2 linked regions of the Drosophila melanogaster genome follow. The protein of the gene in region 1 interacts with the protein of each later gene in a pairwise test. Each region holds a gene or a part of one and is shown on either strand. Other genes may lie near its edges.

Region 1 (3,628 bases):
AAGTATATGATGACCTTGGAGGGATTTCTATGCGAGCTAGCACGCAGGGAGGCGCGTCTAAATGGCGACAGGGGTCGGGCTAGTGAATCCGAAAACCTGCCACATCCACAGATGTTGGAGGAGTACACAGTAGCGTTCTGTGCTGTTGGTAAGGCTTGGCTATAATGGTGAATCCTCTGCCATTGGTAATCAAACCGTAATCTCCAGGTGAGGATGGCCGGGAGCTGCTAGAGGCGGCTCTTTCTGCCCGTCGATGTGCCTATGCGCCCTACAGCAAATTCAAAGTGGGAGCAGCCTTCCGTGCGAAGTGCGGCAGGATCTACGCGGGCTGCAACATCGAGAACGTAGCTTTCACTCCAGGCAATTGTGCGGAGCGTTGTGCCCTGGCCAAGGGTATCAGCGAGGGCGAGAAGAAGTATACGGCGGGTGCTGTGGTAGCCTATCACCCAGATGGGTTTACCACACCTTGCGGAGTCTGCCGGCAGTTCATTTTGGAGTTCATCCAAAATGATATTCCTATCTACATTGCCAAGGCTCCGCCGCCGGAGCAAGAGAACTGCATTCCTTCAATTCCGGACGAAGCTGAAGTGCTGGTCACGTCCGCCTACCATCTGCTTCCCCACAGCTTTAACTCATTTGAATGAAATTTTCATCTAAATAATATCCAGAATTTATTTAATGCAATAAAATTATTCGTTCTAATGTCAATAAGTATTGCAAATAATTTAAGTTAGCGATCTGATTAACTTGACAAAAAGTCAAAACAATGTGTAGAGAACTAAACGTATTTGATAACTGGTTCTCCCGATCCGTAGATGCCGTATTCGCTTTTCTCCGCAAACGGAGTGACTTCCTCGTGCACGAGTATGGGCTTAACTTCTGGATCGAATTCAACCCTTCGAAATTGTGGATCCGTGAAATTAGCGCGCACCTCGGTGACCATTCCCGAATGCGGCACTCGTTTGGTGAGGTTTTGAAACTCACAGCGTCGCTTTGGGCAATTATGCGTATTACCCTCGTCACACATTGTAGGATCCTCTTCGCGGGACACTTTCTGGATGGGCGGCATCTTCTCCGTCCAATTCCAGTATGTAATATTGTCGTGGGCAGCTACTCCGCCACACAAGTCCTCGGGACCCCAGCGCACATACGACAGATTGTATGTGGTGGAGGAGGGATCAAGGTACTTGCTAAAGGACGCCTCCGAACGGTCGATGACTAGCTTGGTGGCTACCACCGGAGTGGGCATTGTTACAGGCAATATTTCCTGTTCCTCCGGCAGCTCCTTAAGTACATACGACTCATGACTGACACTAGAAATGGGCTTCATCTTTCGCTTTACAAAGCGAAGGGAACCCTCCTCAAATGGTTTCATATACTGTGTTTTCATGTTGAGCGAGGGATTTCTAAGTGCGTTGGGATCGTTATACTGGAACATCATGGTCACGTTTTAGTTTGGTGCAACATATCTCAGCATATCAATCAACTCACCTGCCACACATAGTTGGCCATGCACTCAGAAGTCGGCTTCTCGGACAGCAGCGGATCTTTTACATAAATACCCTTATCCGTAAACTTGGCGTTCAGCTTGTTACCCATTCTCAAGTCTGTAATGTGGCGATGCCCTCGATAGTACGAGGTCCTCCAATCGGGATCTGTAGCGCTGGCAGGGCGCTTGTAATCGAAGACGCCGAACTCATCCATGGCTTATGGACTTTGAAAATCTATCTAACACTGACAACAAACACAATTTTCAGCGACAATGGAAATGTGCACCCCTTGAGACGCTTAATTTGGAAACCCTTGATGTTGCCCAGTTACCGAATAGACTCCAAACAATGCTAGTATACTGACTGCTCACAAACAGCCAGCCTTCTGTACAATATTTCTCGTTTATATTCTGCTTCAAATGCAAGTGTTTACAATATATGTAGTTGTAGTTTATGCTGTAGAGAGGAATGCTTGTTTGACAAATATAAAAGCGCTCTGTTCACAAAACAAATGAATATTCGTTAATATAATACGTGGGCTAAGATAATAATGTTGCACTCGATTTGGCCTGTGCAATAATAAACTGTTTGCTTAGCAATTAAACAATTGATTTACTTCGTCTCCCGGATGTGTGTAATCGATGAGGCTTGCGTTTCAATGGGGTGTGTAAACAATGTGCGGGTGACTCATCCTTCTATTCCTTGTCTACTTCCGGCTCCCCGTCTCAGGCAATCTCTTTGAGCGCTAGCAGTGATTGGCGCAGATATTCATACTGCGTCTTGGCATGCTTGATCTCCAGCTCTGAGAGCTCGACGAGGCTGTGTTTAGAAAAGCGATAATAAAATGCAGAGCATAGCAAAATGTTTAGCAGCTGCTGACTCACCTCTTCTTGAAAGCAGCTACCCGTCGGTTGCGGAAACCGATCAACTCCTCCTTTCCACATGCAGACATAGATTCGAATTTTTCACAGGCCTCCGCCTGGGCAGTCTCGGCCTAATTGGAGGATAAACAAAAACGATTATATACAGGGAACACAACAAGTGGGCCACAGCAAGGGCATGCTAAAGTGAATACAACAGATTGAGCAACGGTGGAGCGCATGCAGCATTTACGTGGGGTGGCGACACATCTACTAAACCGACGGTTAAAACGTTAAATGCCAAATACCTCTTGCACCTCCAACGGCTGCAGAAACAGAACCACAAACACGCACAAAAAGTGAAGAGGGAGGGACAGGCAGATCAGAGAGTTGTGAGGTTGTGTACGGTAGCAATAAAATACAAGAACGCAAATAATTTGTTATTTGTAATTAGTGAAGCGTGAGAATTAATTGACCCGCTGGAAACTTTTTGTAGGGAAAACAATTGCTCTTTAAACGATCTGAAACATAGTTCTGGAAGAACTAGTTGTGATCATCCCTCAATCTTACCGCATGAACATCCTTGTTTTTGGAGCGAGCCTTCTCCAGGTTTCGATTGGCCGCTTCATAAGCAGCCAAACACCGCAGTCGCCGGATAAGTAGAGCTTTGGCAGCGTCGCTATCCCGCTGATAGTAGCGCAGAGTGTCGCCCAGCTTGAGATCTTGATCGCTAGCCACTCGGGTTTCCAGATTCTTTAAAATATCAAGAGGAAAATTTATAAAATATAATTATAGCGAAAACGCAGCGTAGCGCACCTTGATCCTTTCAAATATCTCCGCTGTCTTGGCCACAAACGTCTCCACATTTCCCTTTTCCGTAGTCGAGAGCTGCGTCAACGCATTCGAAATCTTCTGATGCGAGTCGCCTACATCCTTGTGGCGTTGCGTCATTTTCTCCGTCCTGAGTGCTGCCTCGCGCAAGTGGCCGTGGTACTCGGTAAGGAACTGCAGCTCGTTCTCAAAGAAGTCATTTACATCCCGAACCGTGGCGCTCAACAAGATCTCGTCTGTGGTCTTGCCCAGGGACTTGACAAAGCCGCCAAAGATGGCCATCTTCTTGCGTGGCTTAGCGCACAGATCTTGGTCGTATTCCAGGAAAACCTTCAAGTGCTGATCGACGCGAAAGACGGGATGACTAGCAAGGCGGCGCAGGAAAACCTCGTGCATGGCCACCGTCTTCTTGAAGGTAGCTAGGTACTCACTGGCAAGTAAAGATGT
Region 2 (3,755 bases), on another chromosome or scaffold:
AGCTGGTCTGGGCGGCTGATCTGCTTGCCAGGCGGAGCAGTTCGCAGTCCGAAATCGTGATAAATCACAGGCACACCATCAGCAGTCAAATGGACATCCAACTCGATCATGTCTGCGTGATGTTCATGGGCGCTCAGGAAAGACGCGATAGTGTTCTCCCTTTCCGCAGGAGCGTCTGCAATGTAACTCTTGCCATTTCCACGATGACCCACATCCAGGTTGGGCCAGCTCTTGGGCCAGTAGTGAGCATAGGTGTTCTTGAAGTCTAGCGGCGAGTAGCGGTAAGGCTGCACCGCGACATAGGGAAGCCTCAGCCTGGCCAGGGTCTCATCTGCATTCTTGGCCGACTTAATCGGCAGGTGGAGCACTCCCTCGCTGCCAGTCAGGTCCGAGGTGACCAGAGTGGCACTGCCCAGGAGTTCGTTGGACATGCTGTAGCACTCCAAGCGGAAGTGCTGCTCCATCATCCTCTCCAGCGGCAGCGTGATGTGAAAGATGACAATGTCCCCCTTGGTGTAGGGCACTCCGAAAGTAGGCTGCAGCTCCAGCTGGCTCTTGCCGTACTCCTGTTTGGAGTACTCCACATGCAGGCCAGCGGTCTTCTCCACGGGCACAATCTTCAGCTGGACGTGCTGGGGGTCAAAGGTCTCGATGTCGTGGACTTGGAACATCTTCTCGCCATTGAACTTGAGCTGCAGAATGGCCTCATGGTTCAGCCAGCCGCGGTGCACCTGCGGCTTTAGATCGGAGTTGTCCGACGTAATACCGAAGACGTCCAACTGGCTGCACTGTAGCTCCGTACAGGGTCCCAGGGACCTGGGCTTGAAATGGGTTTCCCAACGGCGGATCTGCTTGTAGCCAGAGAGATCCTCCACGTAGACAAAGTAGCGGTACTCCAGCTGGCGGCAGGACTGAAGGGCCACCGTGGCCTGCCAGTTGAGCTCGTCCAGCGATTCTAGAGCCACACTTCTGGACAGCTGCCACTCGCCGAGGGCTTTCACATCGCCGGTAAGCCCCAGTCGCTCCTCGGCGGCCAGGGGAACCTCCAGCCGCACATTGAACTCCCGCAGAGTGGGCTTACAGGCGGCGGAGGATCCAGATCCCGACTCTAGCTCGTTTCCGGTTCCATAGGTGATGGAGGCTCCGTCCACGAAGGCGGCACACTGCAAGGACAAGGCAACGGCCAGGATTAGTACAGTCCGAGACATGGCCATCGGGTTAGAGTGGAGATCGCGCGCCGACTGAAAGTCGATCGAGCGGCGGAGTCCGCTATTAAATGCTCGGCAACTTTCCTGCTGAGCCAGCGAGATTAGTCGATGACCCCTTGCGGATTCCGTTTCTGCCTGATAAAGTTTCTCTAAGCGGGGCGTCGACTGTCTGCTGTCTCTGCTCCCTAGCTCCCTAGCCCCCGTGCTCCCAATGCCCCCGCCGGCTCGTCGGAATCGCCGATTTCTCGATTTAGAATCGAAAACAAGTTCGCGCGATAAGCACGCGTCTTTAGTCGCTCCAGAACCGCTCGTGACTTTCAGAGGCGCAAACAAGATCACGTGTTGTACTGGGGCCCGACTAAAGATCATTCCGCCTATTATCAACAGCTTAGCTTAGCTATTTAGCTATTAAAAAAAAAAAACAATAAATATTCGAACCACTTGAGTCGCTCGATTGGACACTGATCTGACGTATAGTCATTTGATTTATACGTGCCTTTTTGCTAAGCCTGCCTTCGTCAAATTTCTATTTGCGTAACTATTTGTCAAAGCGTAGATAACCCCTAATATTTATATAAAAATATATTGACGGAAACCCATAGTTTGAGATCTAGCCCATCTGCCCGGGAAATAAAATTGAATTATGGCTTCATTTAATTATAGCCCAGCTCGTACGTGTGTATTTACAATCTATTCGTCATAAATTTAGTTGTATTCATTGAAACAACTAATTCGTCTATGGCGTTCATCAATTCAGGTTAAAAGTATTGGAAAGTTAATAAACATAGTTCTACAGAAAAATTGCTAAGGCCCTTCAACAAATTGAGAAATATTTAATTAGAAATATATTTTTATACGTCAAGCACAGGAGGCAATAATTTAATTTCCTCCCATTCCACTTGAAAAATGTAAGTAGCAGCACGCGCTACAAATTGTTCGATATCGAGCGGTTTACCTTTGAGCGAATCGCGCGCAAGCCGCACGGAAGCGGTTGCAATTGAGGCGGTTTAAGCAGCGGTTGCTGTTTTTGTCGCTGCTGCGACTTCTGGGCCGGCGACTGCCATGAATGCCACGGCAGAGGATCGGTGATGCAACGACTGCTGAGTGCCCTACACCTGCCGACGATCCCCTGACAACTGGGCGCTAAATTCACTCGCAGCGGGCGCAGTTTACGTAAGTGGAGCGGACCCATAAATTAACCGAAATATTGAATAAATTAGCACGTGCTGTGCCCGCACACAAATTGTTTACCGAGCCGCCTACTTTATAGACCTATTATCGGCGGAGCAAAAGGCGACCAACCACCCACCCACCTAACCGACCGACTGTTCAGATTTGGCTATATGTAGATTTTTGGCATGTATATTCATCCGCCGCCTTGGCAACATTTCGATGGCAAAAGTCGCGTGTTCTGGTGAAATTTTCAAAACTGCGCGATTTGGCACTAGTTATAGTTGTTATTGCTAGCAAGGCAGCATATAGTTTTCCGCATTTTTTATTTTTGACTAATTGCGTCAGAAGGTGCGTTTTGCGAGCGATTTCCTGGCGATTTCACGTTCTTGGCACAATTAGCATAGCCTTGTTAGTTTCTACGGGGGGAGAAACGCCCACAGTAACGCCCCAAACATCGAATAGTTCTCAAAAGAATTTTGATTTCGAGCAATATGTGGTTCAGCTTTTAATTTCTCAACTCTATGTTAATTTTCTTATGATATTCGAGCTTTGCTCCGATTTCTCAAACACCTTTTCACGTGTTCCTAACGCAGGCGCTCTGCTACTCGCTCTATATCTCTCTGAATACTCTGCCATATGTTTTTTGTTTTGGGAAATTTCAGACTCAAAAAGCTTTTCATGTTTGGGCCGTTTCTACTTCCACTCACTTCTTGGCGTGCGTTTTATTTATAGTGAAGGCGAAAAGCTGGCCCATGTGTTTCGTGGCTTGTATTTCAGCTGAACTCGTTATCAGTCAGCTAGGTATCAGAGCTCATATATCAGCCATATACTATGTGTAGTTTATGGCAGCCTCTTCAGAAATTAATAAGCCAACATCTAATCAGACATGGGCCACTTGAGCGGGGACCCTCTCGAAAGCTTAACCTTATAGCATGCTTGGTGCTTGAGTGGTTGAGTCACGTGAGGCAGCGACCTTTTGCAACATGTGGCATTCAGTTTGAAGAGAAACTCAAAAGAGTGGGATATATTATACCGGGATCCCAGGGGTGGTACTGTACGTGAATTACTGGATTACTTCGACGGAAATGACATCAATAGGATACCATTCTCGCAAGGCGGGAAAACATACATAGGCATTTTTTATTTACACCAATCCCCAACTTAGGTGTGCTTGAAACACTTTGTTATTAACCAAGTTGGCAATTATTTCCCCGCCCATATGATAGCCCTGATAGATATATATACATACATCGTTAAAAGCCCCCCTGCCCCCGTCGAATATAGATTTTCCTTTACCCACGACAATTGCATAAACAAAACGCGCAGAAGACATGCAAATGTCCGATGACAACAGCAGCGACCTTCAGACACCCC

What was found.
Region 2: the proteins of CG8292 (region 1) and CG18135 interact in a two-hybrid assay, tested with the Drosophila melanogaster proteins (one large-scale study listed by BioGRID).

The regions. Positions count from the first base shown.
Region 1 is NT_033779.5:8,216,196-8,219,823, forward strand, and holds CG8292 (uncharacterized protein), read right to left. Parts: upstream 1,823-3,628; 5' UTR 1,705-1,822; coding exon 1,492-1,704; intron 1,430-1,491; coding exon 779-1,429; 3' UTR 656-778; downstream 1-655. Other genes in the region: CG8349 (uncharacterized protein), read left to right, coding at 1-148, 208-644; Snx6 (sorting nexin 6), read right to left, coding at 2,216-2,309, 2,375-2,484, 2,659-2,676, 2,921-3,103, 3,167-3,611.
Region 2 is NT_037436.4:18,991,563-18,995,317, forward strand, and holds the start of CG18135 (uncharacterized protein), read right to left. Parts: upstream 1,606-3,755; 5' UTR 1,578-1,605; coding exon 1-1,577.